Elephas maximus indicus: one gene and its partner. The protein of the gene in region 2 purifies or fractionates together with the protein of the main gene of each other region. This does not show direct contact. Links are inferred from orthologs where the notes say so. Each region holds a gene or a part of one and is shown on either strand. Other genes may lie near its edges. The genes, in order: NUP88 and NUP214.

Region 1 (8,140 bases), on a different chromosome or scaffold from region 2:
TGGCTTGACTTTTTTTCAATGAGACATCAATGTGATAACTCAGGCAAAAATAAAAGTATAATTTTACATACACTATAAACATTAAAATCACAGGAAGCCACAGGAGCCCTAGAGACGTAACAGTTAAGCACTTGGCTGCTAACTTAAAGTTCAGCGGTTCAAACCCACCAGCGGCTTCATAGAAAAGATCTGGCAATCTGCTGCTGTAAAGATTACAGCCTAGTAAACCCTATGGGGCAGTTCTCTCTGTCACATACGGTCGCTATGAGTCAGGATTGACTAGACTGCACAAGAACAACAACAAAGTTTCAATAGTAGCACAGTATCAAGACTCACTGGTAGTACAAATTATATAAATATGCACTAAATGGAAATACAACTTACCTACAATTCACTTTTGATTTTCCACCTTCAAATTCAGAGTTCTTCCCCCATCTTTTAGGTAGTTCTAATACCATAAGTCCTTTTAGTCCTATAAGTGCTACATGATGTTGTGTTGGACTTAACAAGACTTGATAGATTTCAAACAGGGGTGGATTTATACAAAGCAGTCTCTGGAAATTAAAGCACAAGGGTCAAATAGTTCATTTTAATACAAATACATGTAGGAGTTATTCAAAAGCATACTAATACTTTAATCTTCTATACTTGTAAGATAATGAAGCATTCTGGAAAAACACTAATACTTGACCCACTAACTGTTGAAATATTTTTAACCATTTAGATTGGAATGTTATATAAAATGCATCAGACTTCCCTACTTTGAGAAAAAGAGAATACTACATTTTTCTTTCAATGATCAAGCTGCAGCCTACTACTCCAGTCTCAACTCTCCACCATTCTCCACTCATACCTTATAATATAAAAAGTTAACTTGTATTTCTGGGAAATCATCACGCTTTCTTATGCCTCTGTGTCTTTATTCCTCCTGGAACGCCTTCATTTTCTTTTGTAGTTGGCTAACAAGACTGAACACATTCTTGCAGACTCAGCTTCTACGCACCTTCTACACAATGAAACATCCCTGGTCTTCAGGTCAGGGTTGAAAGCACATTTTAGGTGCTCCTATAGCACTCTGCATAATTATAGCTATCACCTTGCATTCTAATCGTTCTCTTACTTGCTCATTCCACCCTACTATGAATTACTTCATGGGAAGATCTGTGCCTTTCCTTTCTGCAGTCTTACCATAGTATCTGGCATACTGTCAACTCTCAGTACAGGGTTAGGGAATGGGCAAATGAAGAACTTGAACTACTAACACGTGCTAATCACTACACTGAGCCTTGGTGGCACAGTGGTTAAAGTGATCAACTGCTAACGGAAGGTCGGTGGTTCAAAACCACCGGTGGCTCCGTGGGAGAAAGATGTGGCAGTCTGCTTCCACAGAGATTTAGAGCCTTGGAAACCCTGTGGGGTCACTATGAGTTGGAATGGACTCGACAGCAGTGAGTTTGGGTTTTTGTTGGTTAATTACTATGTTATAAACAGTACAACAAGATATAAACTACTTTCAAGAATTTCTGCAACAAGAAAAGTGCTGCTTTAACTATGTAGATTTAAAGTGAAGCTGATTTTAGGGGGCTCTGATGAGCTGTTTGTCTCAGTATCATATTAAAAAAAAAAAACAAACCAAATCTACCGTCACTGAGTCCGACTCATAGCGACCCTATAGGACAGAGTAGAACTGCCCCATAGGGTTTCCAAAGAGCAGCTAGTGGATTTGAACTGCCAACCTTTTGGTTAGCAGCCAAGTTCTTAACCACTGTGCCACTGCTTCCTATTTCTTTTGTCATGACCAAGCGATGGATCACTTCTATATGGCCGTTCTCACCATGGTCTTGTATATTCCACCAAATGATTGGGTGGGACTATGCAAATAAGGTGATTGTGGCTCACCAAGGGGATTGGCAGTTTGCTAATAACGCAAATAAACTGCCTGGAATGCCTGTGTGGAGTGGGACCATGCAAATAATGTGAATGGAACCTTAACAAGCGGATTGGTCAATTTTGCTGTCTTTCTAGGCTTAAAACAGAGCCAATCCCAGAGCAGAGGGGGATTTCACTACCACCAAAAGGAAAAGATAGGAGCAGAGGACATCTTTTGGACCTGGGGTCCCTTGCACTGAGAACTTCCTACACCCAGGAGATAAAGAAAGTTGTAACACCAGAAGGAGAAGCAGGGGCAGAGAAAAGGTGGCAGCAGAGCCAGGAAACCAGTACAAGGTGGTGCAGTGGACTTCCCAGCCCATGAAATAAGGTGGTTACAGTGGGTGTGCCAACCCACAGAGCCGAGCGCCTTCGGACAGAGGCTTGCTGGTGGAGTGGGATGCCTCTGGGCACTTATCTGTAGAGCTAAAGAGCTCTGTAACAACTGCTGGAGCAGAGCAGGGCCGAGGACAGAGAGAGGCCTGCTTGGGGGCACGGCTGAGAAGAGGCTGTCCTGAAGAACTGGACCCTGAATTGTAACCTGTTACTTCCCTAATAAACCCCATAATTGTGAGTACTGTCTGTGAGTTCTCTGTGGCCACGGCAACAAATTATCAAACACAGCAGAGTAGAGAGTGCCATGGGAGGGAAGGCAGGTGTCAGAACTGGTAAAAAGGTTGGAGGGAGGAGGCATGTCTGACGGCCACATCATAGGATCAGCCTTGGGCTGATGCTGATGGTGAGTCCTCTCCCCGCTTGTGAAGTCAGAGGAGATCAGATGGCCCCTCCACGCCGTTTTTACAACCAACCTACCAAATAGCACACTATCCCCCTTTCCTGTTTTGTTTTTCTTCCGAAAACTTAACCATCACTGATAGTTTGTTGAGTATTCCATGGTCCTTCCTTCTTTCCAGAAACTAAGCACCACAGAAGCGAGAGTTTGATCTGGTTTATTCCCATAACAGCGTCTGGTACCGTGTCGGAGTCAGAAACTTTGGTTAAAAGAATACGGAAACTGAGGTATCGAAAGGCTATGTGGCCACGTTGGAGAAAAATAAAAATAAGGGGGAAGGCTTTTACACTTAAAGCGGGAAGTCCCCGAAACGACGCCGGCTTACACTTGAACAACACATTTACAGACGATGAAAGATCCCAGAACGAGAAGAAAAAAACCGAGTTCAGATCCTCCTGGTTTGGCCTTACCTGATATTGGGAGAGGGAGGGCTCTTCGCTGCCGCCCCTGAGGCTCCGAAGGCGAACGACTAAGAAGGAGCTGCCTTCCTCGTCCCACAGGAAGATCTCTCCGCCGAGGCCGAAAAGTAGGTTTCTCGTCAGCAACGGCGGCGGCGAAGACAAGGACGAAGAAGCCGATTTCTCAGTTTCGACGGCGCTCTGGTTCTTCAGTCCCTCCCGGAGCCGCAGGAACACGGCGTGGTTAGGGAGCTGGGTGTGCCACAGCTCACCGCCGTCCACAGGGTCCTCGGCAGCCGCCATTTTGGCCCAACTCCTCGCCTCCTTCCACTTGCTCAGCCCGCCGCTGAGCGCAGCCAATCCGGAGCTAGCTGTCCACTACTGCTGCCAATCATCGAGCAAACGAAAGTAAAACTAGGGGCGGGGCGAGAGTGAGGCCCGCCCATTGCCAGAGACGAGCCAATCACCAGTCAAGCACTTATTCTGACGGCAAAAGGGGGCGAGACGAGTAGGTCAACAGGCTCAGCGCCTGTTTAGGAAAAGTTTGGTACTGCGCACTCTCATAGCGCGAGGAGAGCCTGAGATCGGGGTATTTATCTGCCTACTGGACACCTGGTAGCGTAGTGGTTAAGAGCTACGGCTGCTAACAGAAAGGTCGGCAGTTCGAATCCACCACGCGCTCTTGGAAACTCTTTGGGGTAGTTCTACTCCGCTAAGAGTCGGAATCGACTGGACGGCAACAGGTTATTAGACACCTCCACCTGCATGAGGAAACCCTGGGGCCTAGTGGTTAAGCCTTTGGCTGCTAACCAAAAGGTCGGCAGTTGGAATCCACCAGGCGCTCCTTGGAAACCCTATGGAAGCAATTCCACTATGTCCATAATGTCGGTTTAAGTCGGAATCGACTCGAAGGCAACGGGTTTGGTTCGGTTTTATTACCTGCATAAACCCAGACATCCAAAACAAAGATTCGCCTCTCTCTCTCGCTCAATCCACATTTCGTTTACCTCATAAATGTCAAAATGTTGTTGGATTTACGTCACAAATGTCACTCTGTCTCGGCGTAGGGTTGGCAGGTAGAACAACACTTCCCAGAATTCCCCGCCCTCCATCTAGAACGCTGAGCATTCAGAAACTACAGCTCCCAGAATTCTGCGCGTTCCGAGGGGGCGGGGCTTTGTGGAGGCTGCTCCGCCGAAGAGGCGATGGCAGAGCCGCCGGAGTCTCCGCACCGCTCGCTGTACAAAGTGGTGGGCTCTCCTCCTTGGAAGGAGGCTTTCAGGCAGGTGTGTGTGGGGTTTATGACTAGTTGGGTTGTAGTCACTCCCCTAAGCCATCCCTGGGCTATTCTCCTCACGTAGCTCCGTGAGGCAGGTGCCGGGAGCGCCTGGCCATTGAAGTGGACCTCGAACCCGGGCCTCCTGTCAGTAGGTCTGGGATGACTAGTGCCTAGCCGCCCACCCGGAGGTTCTGGCGTTAGTCCGGGCCAGCCCAGTCCCAGGAAGTCTTGCTTTCCGATTTGGGTTTGTTTCATATTTGAAACGTGGCTGTGGCCTCATCCCTTTAATAACTAACAGCGACACCGGTGCGTCAGGAATCGAAAGAGGATCTTCGTGTACGTACTGCGTATGAAGTAGGAATTGTTTATATTCTAGAGAGGAGTAAACTGAGGCTCAGAAGAGCCTCAGTTCCTAAGTCTTAGCAGACTTGTACCCCACCTCAGTTCTGACCTATTCTGAACTCACCACGGTTTCCAGAGAGTAATACTCCTTTTCTCGCCCTGAAGTAGTGGATGTACCCCAGGAAGGTAATCTGACGCTAGAACTGTGTGCAGCAGGGCTTCTCAGCCTTGGCACTATTAACATTTTGAGGGGTAATCCCTTGTTGTGGGAGCTGCCCTGTACATTGTAGAATGTTTAGCAGCTTTCCTGGTCTCCACTTTTTAGATGCCAGTAGACCTCTAGTTGTGACACCCAAAAATGTCTCCAGACGTTGCCAGCTGTCCCCTGGGAGACAAAATGACCCCCAAGTTAGAAATACTGTGTGCAGGAGGGTTGTTAACACAGCCATATCTAGAGTAGCAAAACACTTGGAAATGTCCTGTAATAGGAAGAGGAAGCTGAAATGTTACGCAGCCAACCATTAAGAAAGGTGGCATTGAAGACATCTGGGAAGTACGATCTGGAAATACATGAACAAGGCATTGTAATTTCCCCTTTTTTTACATGTGGACCAAGACTGGAAGGAATACGCAAAAATGAAAATAGCGTAGTTGGAATTTTATGTCTATAAATTGTCTTTAATGTTTCAACAACTAAGAATATTAAAAAGAGAGAAACTTGTTTTCCCTTGCCCTCCCCCCCCATCTTGCTCCTTACTCCAAGGGATGCCTGGAGAGAATGAAAAACAGCCGGGACAGGCTCCTGAACAAGTACCGCCAGGCTGGAGGCAGCCTGCCAAGAGGAGCTCAGAACACCCTTCTAGTGCAAGAAGTGATGGAAGAGGAGTGGAACGCTCTGCAGTCAGTGGACCACTATCCAGAGGCCTTGGCTCAGGTCAGGCTGGGGTGTGTGCACAGGGGGTGGGCTACAGCAGCATGAACTACTAGTTGGCACCTATTTACCTAAGTCCTGTAAACACACCCACCCTCAGCCCTCAGGCAGAATTCTCACAGATTTTAACCCAGGTTCTTCTACCTCTAATGTTAGGTTATTCAAGATCAATGGTTTCTAAATACCAGACTGTAGACCTGATGCATCATAGTATCGTAATCACTTATGAAACAAACAAAATTATACAGTCATTCATTCTTTGTCTCTCCCCTGGAAATTTCGATTCAGTACACATGGGTTAGGGATCTCCCTTTTTAAAAAATATCTCCAGGAGCTTTCTGATTCTAATCTCAGCCAGGGTTGGGAGTTGAGTATGGATAGGAAACCATTTACAGTGTATTGGAAAGAGCATTGGATTGGAAGTCAGCAGTTCTGGAGTTCTAGTCCTGGTTTTGCTGTTGACTCATTAACTTCATTCTGCCTCTTTGAGCTTTCGTTTTCACGTTTCTAAAATGAAGAAGATAATGTTGCCAGCATTGTTAGGATTATATAAGAAAATGTGGACAAGGGCTTTGGAAGTACTACATAATAACAATGTATTATTGGGTGCCTTCTATGTGTCCTAGAGTATGTGAAATACTTGCCCTTACATTAGCACAGTTACTGCTCACAGTAACCCTTGCAGGCTGGTTTTATTTCCACTCACAGAAGCCAAAACTGAGGTTTACAGAAGTTAGGAACTTTACTGTTGTCACGTAACCTTGGCAGAACCATATATTTAACTGCTACCATATACTGTCTCCCCCAGATTTGGTGCCATTATTCCATTCCTGGGTAGTTTGATCATTTGTTGATAGTTTCTCAGCATGGCCACACCACGTCATTGTCAGCATATTCTTCAAAAGTACGGGACTGATCCCCTGAGGGAAGTCTGGGCTCTTTAAGCCAAGTTCCAAGTACAGTCGTCATGAGGCTTGGTGACTGATTAAGACTTCAGACTTCTGATGAGCTCCACTTTCTTTTGCAGGTGGAGGAGCCAACGGACCTGGCTGTACTTGAGGAAATCCATCAGGAGCTGATTGACCAAGGTGACCCCTGAGGGTAGTCCTTCCTACCTATATTTAGCTACTTTAAGGCTGACCTTTCCTTTGAGCAGGATAGTTCTTAACAGAGCTTTGAACCTGTTCGACAAGTTCCCAGGCGATGCTAATGCTGCTGGTTAGGGACCAATTCTGAAAACCACTAGTAGGGCAGTGGTTCTCAAATTTTAGTGTACATAAGAATCACCTGGGATTTTGTTAAACTGTAGACTCGGATTCAGTCTATCTAGAATGGAAATACAAATTCTCGACAGGGATTTGAACTGGAACAAACCAGTTTGAAGCCTGGTTCTTAACCCTGCTCCTTTACCTCCATATTCAGTCTAGTGTCCAGAAGTCTCTGTTTATACTTTGAAGACTTGTCTGTCTTCCCAATAATAAGAGTCTCCAGTGTGCTAGCCCTTGTGCTAAGAGCATCTCATTCCATTATATTGTCTTCTCCTATGACTACCCTACAAGACAGTATTAGAAGAAAGTGTCTTACCCAGGTCATACAGCTAGCAAGTGGTGGAGCTGAGAAACAGAATCAATTGTGTGAACCCAGTTCTGGTGTTTACTGCACTGTCCTACTGTACCTGTGTATTAGTATAGGTTAATAGCAATCCGCTCACTTCACAGGATGTAATTTAAGTGCCTTCTTTCCTATCCATTCTTTACTGACTCCTCAGTGTCCTGTGAACAGCTACTCCCTGGGGCATCCATAGCACTGTGTGGAGTGCCTGGTTTAGCACCTCATACAATTAAGTCATTTATTCCACAGAGTCTTGTCTTTACTAGGCTGTCTTTCTCATCCCCGAAATAGAGGTAATAGACCTGCCCTACAAGATTGTTATCAGGCTTAAATGAAACAACCTGTGTAGAGGACTCAAAGCAGTGCTTGGTGTGGGTAAGTTTGCAATCAGTGGATAGCTTGGGCTGGTGTCAGAAGTAAGCACCCTGTAGTGTCAGCTAAAGTCTCGCCTGTGAGCTCATCAAGAGCTGGGGGCCAGTCTTTTTCATCTTTGTCACCCAGTGCCTACCACGTACTAGGTATTGGTGCATGTTGCTGAAAGAATGAGCACACAGATCCTGAACAACACAGGTACTACCACAGGGGCACCACTCACTTTAAACTCAGCAGGGCAGGCCTGGTATCAGAAGTGCCTTGTAGTGTCAGCTTCCCCCAGGTGCTCTCAGGACTCTGACATTCCACATCTCTGCCCCAGTAGCCTCTGGAGACGTGTGTCAAAGTTATCTCCTTGTCCTTTAGCCTCAGTTCACCTCTTATGCTCGCAAGGAGAGGACAGATAGGAGGGGGAGGGGGGAATCCAAGAGCAATAAAGACGTACCAATTGGTTGTGTGTTTTTGCCTGAATCGTTTTCTTTGTG
Region 2 (7,517 bases):
AAGTTCAACTAAGCAAAAATAAAAGTATGGCATGGACAGTTCTTCCTTCCTTTGTGCTTAGGGAAACAACTCATCAAAAAGAGAAATACAAAGGACCAAAGAGAACACCTAGAAAAGTTCCCAGCATCCCACCTGGAATTTACTTTTCCTGGGGGGGTGAAGGGATCACAGCAGTTTTAATTTTAATATTAAAATGACTGTTTGAAAAGGAAACATTAGCACTCCACCACACTCTTCTTTTTAATATGCAACATAAGTCAAGTAACTTACCAATTTTATTGGGATCATCCCCAGGTTTATTTTGAATCAGAAGATTTTTAGTAGGAAAAATTTGCAATCCACTGGTTCCACCAGCAAAGACCAGACCATACTTGTTGGACACGGCAAGCAAACTCGTGCGTTCCTTGGGCAACTTGTCAGGGGACTCAAAGATTCTCACTTTTTTCAGTGCTCTAAACTGAAAATCCTATTGTGAAGGATTGAGGGGAAAAAAAAAAAAAATTCAGGGCTAACAGAAAATTATGTCTGTCGTTATATTCCAAGAGACCCAATTCCAAGGCAACAAAAGAATATAATTCCTTGAGGCTAAGGACAGTGTGTCTTTAAATTCTTGTGCTTATTATCATGGTGCCTGGCATAGTGTGCAATATTTGTTAAATGAGATAAATGAGAGAAAACTTTCATGAAATTTTTCTTGGACTAATCTAGCTCACACTGATCTCTTCTTTTTTCTGAATTCCTACTGTATTTATTCTTCGAATCACCACAAACTATATTATTTATAATCTTATCCTGTCATGTTAAGTGCATATTGTCTCAGACCCAGAGTAGAGCTTAATACTTGTTAAATATTGAAAGTATCACCTAACTACAGTGAACTCTTAACTTCTAGTGTAGTAGTCAACAAATATATATTGAAATAATGATGACAGAAGATGACCAAAGCCCAAGAATTGGCTTACTTATATCATATGCCAAAAAAGCATTCTATCACAAAATGGAAATGGACAATCTCTTGAAGCTCAATGCTTTTAAGCAAAACACAGATGCTATGAGAACATTTAAAACACAAAACCAAAATTCATAACACAATCTATAAGGTCAAGCATGGCTTGATCCCTCTACCTCTGTAGTCTCATCTCCGCTTCCTCTAAAAAATGCACTATCACCACTGCTACAGCTACCTTCCCTGCTCCCCCCCACCCCATTTCCCTCAGTCCTCATGCTCTTTAGTACCTTAAGGCCTTTAGACATAAATAATTGGCCTGGGAGCCTCCTCCCCTGATCTCCTGCCAATGTCTGACTCACCTGTCTTCCATGGATTTATCTAAGTTTTCAATAAGAGATACATAAGTTTATCAATCACTATGTTAAACTACACTGTGGGTATATATATATATATATATATACACACACACACACACTTTTTTTTTTTTAATATAATTCTAAGCCTGTCTTTAAGTCAAGGCCTCAGTAAATCAACTTTATGCTTATAATCCAAAATTGTAAAAAACAAGGACAGTTTTTCTCAGCCTTCATTTTTTTTCCACACTGGATTCTTATACAGTTTCATATAGGATCCTTTCCACACCCCACAAGAGGATCAGTCCCTGGAGAAGGACACCATGCTGGGTAGAGGGTCAGTAAAAATGAGGAAGACCCTCAACGAGGTCGAATGACACAGCAGCTGCAACAACGGGCTCAAGCACAACAATGATCATAAGGATGGCACAGGATCAGGCAGTGTTTAGTTCTGTTGTACACAGGGTTGCTATGAGTAGGAACCAACTCTATGGCCCCAACACAACCCACGTACTAGTTTCCTTGGGTTAGGTGTTTAATACATATTTGCTAAAAGATTAACTGAAATACTCTTTCTTAATTCCAACTAGGAGCCCTGGTGGCACAGTGATTAAGAGCTTGGCTGCTAGTCAAAAGGTTGGCAGTTCGAATCCACCAGCCACTCCTTGGAAACCTTGAAATTCACACAGCTTTTCAGATGAGACCACACTATAGTTTCATACAGGAGGAGAATAAAAATTTCATTTTTGTAATTCTTATCCTGATAATCCTAAATTTTTTATTTGGGTCTTAATCACATGGGTACAGTAGGCCAGTGGGATGAAGAAGCACAGGAGAACTCTCCTTTCTGTTACAATCATATAACTCAAAGGGAGACTATCGTTTCTAAGGCTGTGGTCCTAAAACCTTTCTTTTCTTCTGCTCCAGCATATCTGAGGAACATGACACATTCCCTCTGGGTTGCTCACCACAGCAGTGATTCTCAAGAAGAAAAAGTAAGAATCATTACTCTAAATATGGATCATTATCCCTACGACTCGAGGGCACTGGGTGGGTAAATGCTTCCTAGGGATTTGTTGTTCACATGAATGCCTGAAATCTTCCTGTAACTTATTTCCTCTTAGCCGTTTGCTATGTAAAAGAAATGTAGCTTGTTCTCTGTACTCTCGTTCTATCAGAAAATTTATAAGAAACGTCAAACACAACCATCCTGGGGACCTACCCCCGCACTCTCCAACTTTACCATCATTTGGACCACTTATTTCTCCCCTTTTCTTGACCTTAAGCTGATGTGCTGCGCCAAAATAGCCCTTCTATGCCAGTTACCTAAAGGTTTTGTAAGATGCCTGATCTTCGGCTCTATGTTAAGCAAGTCTGGACCGCCCTACAGAAGTAGTACCGTGACAGTGAAGAAAGTGTCTTAAATAAACCTAGACTTCAGTCCCCTTGTCAAATGTGACTGGATAAGCTACTTTCCGGGTCTCGATTTTCTCCTCTGTAAAACAGGGATACTAACAACCACTTTATAGGGTTGCGGTGATGATTCAGGGAGATAATGCTTACCACAGTGCCTGGCACACAATAAACGCTCAATAAACAGTTATTACCACTACTCAGACTACCACATGTAAGCAGCTAAGATAACTCCAGAAGAATGCACAAGACTAACAAAGACCGGGGAAGCTCATTCCGTGGGGCTACCACGCAAGCGGCACAACAGAGCGCTCCAGAGCAACGCCAGTGAGAACTCTGAACGCCGTAACCTGTTCAAGCCGAAGGCGGGGCTCCAAGGCAACGCCAGTACTAAGGGAGGGAGCCCCTGGCCAGTATCTGACCTTCATTTCCCGCTCGGGGATCATCGCATCCATCTCGTCTCCCATCGCGCCGCACACAGGTTGTCGAAGCAGCTACTGCTGCCGGCCTGGGCCTTGCCCACAGAGCACAAGCCGCTCCGAGGCCAACTTCCTTCCCTCAGGGACAGTACCGCGCAGCTGAACTCGCATTTCCGGCGCGCTTTGATGACGTCACGCGTCCTGTTCCGCTAAGTGTTTGAGGAAACTAGAGGTAGACTTGAAGCCGCGCGCTCCTCGGACTGCCACCTCCCATTGGCCAGTTCAGTCCGAGTGGGGGCGTGGCCCTAGGGCCCGCACGCCTGCCGCCTGGAGCGTCCTGACTCCGCCCCCACGCTTACGGTCTCGCCTAGGGTTGGAGTTACTCGTTCGGCGTCTGACGCCTGAGCGCTGCAAGCACCTTGTTCCGTTGAAACCTCACAGTAACCTTTCGATGTAGGTGGTTATTGTTCCCGATGCAGAGATGTCAGGGACTTGACAAATATTTACAGGGGCGGCTCTTGAGAGAGGCTTTGGTGGGGCAGGGTAAGGGAAGAGAAGTTCAGAAAATAGGTGGATGGAACCTTGTCACAAAAGTCCGTTTTGAAAAAGGGCACCAAAGACCAGCTTTGTTTACTCCTTTGAAGAGCCGTATCTATCTCCGTTAACAAAATAGTTTGTGCTGAGTTCTGGGCAAAACCCTTTAGTTGTGCTTATCTTATTTAATTGTCAAGACATCCCAGCCACCTGGGATTGCCGTTTAATTGATGAGACGACTGAAGCACAGAGATGTTAAGAAAATTCCTCCAGTGCCCCTCAGCCAGAAAGTGTTGGAGGTAGGATTAGAATTCATGTTGTCTGAATTTGATAACTATTACACAGCCCTGTTGTAGAAGAAATTTTTTGTAATGGAATTATAAATGCTGTAGGATATTCTACCACTATCAGGTTTGCAGTAAGTTGTTTATCTGCTCCAAGCCCAATTCTCATCTGTAAGAGGTTGACAATGACAGAACCTATCTCACGGAGGTTTTTGTGAGGGTTAAATAAGTCTGGCACATTTTAATCTGTTAACTAGCTCTTCTGAATTTGCTGAGCTAAAGAACTGTATTAAAAATAAACCAATCATGACATCGATAAGTTTGTCTGGTTTATTTCCAATCTGTAGAGATGATATCCCACACCACACGCACTCACATGCACACACACACACACATACTTCATCCACCTGGATTTACCCAACAAACTCCTTCCTTTTGAGTCATAGGGACAAAGCCATAATTGGCAGTCCCCAAGTTGCTGGTTACATTACAGATAGATTTGGTCTTTCAGAAATAAAGACAGCTGAAGCGCCAAGAAGCTGAGCCCCTAGCCAGAGAAGTAAGTATCCTAGAGCCAATAGCCACAACCTGAAATACATGCAGGCCCCTTGTCCGAGAAACATTCTTGAGACCCTTTCCACCAAGGGTTGAGTTCTAAGAAGTGGTGAAGGAACTGATGGGGTTTCCCAAGGTACCCCCCCATCCAATGAGAGAGCCCCTCTTCCGGCCCTTTCCAGAAGCTGGAAACACACCAGCTTGTTTTCCTTCCTTAAGGAGGCTTCCTTCGGTCTTGTAAGCTGCGGAACCCACTGAAATAAGCCTGGCTAGTTTTGTCTTTCTCTGTGAGTGAGGAACGGGTACACTGAATATGATGGGTAGTAAGGAAGGCTTTACCTTGCTCAAAGGTCCCAGCCTGCCCAAAGAGGACAGGCAGTGAGAAGCCTTGGGGTCAGGTAGCTGCTAATCTATTGATCTCAGGAAAAAAAAAAAAAAAGGCAGAGGAGGTAGAGGTGGGATTTTACATTTACAGGGTGGAGTGTTTTACTGGGGTTTAAACTTCGACTAGGCCTGTGCATTTGAAGCAGCTTCTTAGGCTGAAGATCAGCCAGTCATGGCCAAATAGTCTTGCTCCTGAACTGGTTGAGACCAGTGGACTAATCTAACCTGGCCATTTCCCCACCCTCTTCCTCCCTTATCCTCTCAAGCTACTATAGGGAGCAGCACGTTGGGCCCTTGATTATGGGTCACTAAGGAGCCACAGGGAGCCCGCACTGGCTCCAACAGCCCCCAGACCTTTCTACTTTAGGTTTTGCAAAGGTTTCTCCAAGTCTCCAGTCTTGGGCCCAGCTCATTCCCCCAGGACTGCAGGGCAGTTACCCTTGTATCCCCCATTCCTAACATTCATCTCTCATGTTATTATCTGGGTCTGACTTCCCCACTAGACTCACAATTCCATGAGTCTGTCCTATTTTACTGCTGGATTCTTAGTTCTTTGCTCATAGCAGGTGCTTAATAAATACGTTCAATGAATAAGTGCATCCAAGTCCTGCATGGGGAGAGATAAGGGACTGCAGAGCACAGGTGGTATCAAGGCTGAGACCCCCTGCTCAGCCAAGAAGTGGCCAAGTTTGACATCTTCCTGCATGTGTTCTGAGAACCAGGCACCAGAACTGTAAAGGCAGTCCCAGGCCTTATACAGACCCTGATGCTGACTTGGAAATGCTGGGTAGTTAATCCTGGCCCAGGGCCTTCCAGGCAAGGAAAATCTTACCCAAATGTTGACCTAGGAGACTACCTTTCCCCAATCCTTCCCTGTTTTCACAACTAACTGAGGATTCCAGAGCAGAGATGAGGTGTGGGCAGGGGATCAGAAGACCTGAGCTCTGGTCCAGACCCTTCCATCTCCAAATTAACCCCCTGACCTTGGGCAAGGCACTTAATCTCTATGGGCCAAACATGGTTTTCTCACCTGTGACATGGGAGGACTGCCCAGCTAACCTGCAGGGTGGATTGGGACTCTTAAATCCTGTGAGTCTATAATAAAGAACAAAGGTATCCCCAATCCAATTCCAAAACTCAAGGTTTTGGGTGATTTGGAAAAGGAGAGATGATTTAGAGAGACAGTGGACACAGCACATGTCAGGATAAAGGGGAAGGACTTAAAGCTCGTAACAGATGGTCAATAAATATCTGTAGAATGAATAAGTGAATCGTGTGAGTAGGGTGGGAAGACAAATGGGGGAAGAGTAGTCAGGTTTCATGAAGATTGGGGTCAGAAAGGTAGCTCTTGGTTTAATAGTAAGGTTGACTCTTTGTGCCATGAACATTTTATTCTTGATTCTCCTGTCCTTTTGCCCTCAGCATCCTTCCTAAAAGAGACTAGACTGAGGCGACCCCTCCCCTAAGGTCCCTGGCCCCATCTCTCCCTCCAAAGCCCTTTCCTGCTCCAGCAACGGCCGGCCTGTGCAGCTGCACCTGCCCTCCAAACTGCCTGTAAAAGTGTGGTCGCTGCTGGTGGCATGGCCAGAGAGCTCCTTCCGGTACCTTCTCAAAGGGCTCAAATTGCCAAACTCCTCTCTTCCCCTCCTCCAGTCGCCTCCTTGAGAACCCTCATTGAGGATAAGAAGCACAGACTGAGTGGAGAGCAGCTGGGGTGGTAGGCCATGGTGTGGCCGGCAGGAAGCTGGGCCAAGCCAAGAACGCTGGAAACACAGAGCGGCCAGAGGAAATGTTCACAAGGCCCTGCAGCCTTGTCCCAACTCCAGAGCCTTCCCAGCCTCCCTGCCCTGGCTCTGGCCCTTCCCCTGTCCCTGTGGTTTTTGGTTTGATGTCAGCTCTTCTGCAGAGGGAGGATGGAAGGATGGGTGAAGAGGGGACTGAAGGCTCAGGATTCCACCACCCAGAGCCCTTTTAAGGCAGGTAGTTTGTGCTTTACAAAAAGATCACTGATTCTGTCCAATGAAACAAACAAACAAACCCGCAATGACCAAACAAACAAACAAGACAAATCACAATGAGTCAAGAAGGCCAGCGAGATGTGGAGAGAGGAGGAGGGGCGGGGAGGCCAGGTAGGGCAGGGGCAGGTCCAGGCAGGGTCCTCAGGGTAGGCTGGCAATGTCTCTCTCTGGAGGAGGGCCAACTGGCTTCGGGCTGTTCTCATTGGCTTTTCCTTCAAACATCATGACTCTGGTTTGGAGATGGAGAAAAACAAAAGAAAAGAAAAAAAGGATTAGGACTTCTTCCCCTATCCAGGGAAAGATCATCTAGCCCTCAAGTCTACGGGCCTCAACAGATGCCCCTCAAATCCATTTCCCAGTGGGATCTTGTGGAAGCCTAGGGCAATCTGCTAGGGCCATTGTACAGAGGAGAAAACAGGTGCAAAATGATGACTTTACTCTGCAGAACCACATAGGTACTCCAAGGCAGGGGCAAGAAGAGACACCAAACCTCTGATGCATAGGCCATGTGCCTTCCCCTGCCCACAATGCCTGGTGTAGGCTGAGCAAGGCTGGGCCATGGCTCTGCTTAGGAGACAGTTTTTAAATGCAATCCTGACCTTGCCACC

The links.
Region 1: the proteins of NUP214 (region 2) and NUP88 purify together in Homo sapiens (affinity purification with mass spectrometry; 6 studies listed by BioGRID and IntAct, counting the BioPlex papers as one, with this or other methods). This does not show direct contact. The link is inferred for Elephas maximus indicus from reciprocal best matches to the Homo sapiens genes NUP214 and NUP88.

What each region holds. Positions count from the first base shown.
Region 1 is NC_064837.1:15,088,903-15,097,042, forward strand, and holds the start of NUP88 (nuclear pore complex protein Nup88), read right to left. Parts: upstream 3,469-8,140; 5' UTR 3,424-3,468; coding exon 3,133-3,423; intron 555-3,132; coding exon 385-554; intron 1-384. Other genes in the region: RPAIN (RPA-interacting protein), read left to right, coding at 4,326-4,406, 5,505-5,675, 6,700-6,760. UniProt on the Homo sapiens protein: Component of nuclear pore complex.
Region 2 is NC_064827.1:82,068,632-82,076,148, reverse strand, and holds the start of NUP214 (nuclear pore complex protein Nup214), read right to left. Parts: upstream 3,304-7,517; 5' UTR 3,183-3,303; coding exon 3,138-3,182; intron 467-3,137; coding exon 271-466; intron 1-270. Other genes in the region: AIF1L (allograft inflammatory factor 1-like), read right to left, coding at 7,051-7,138. UniProt on the Homo sapiens protein: Part of the nuclear pore complex. Has a critical role in nucleocytoplasmic transport.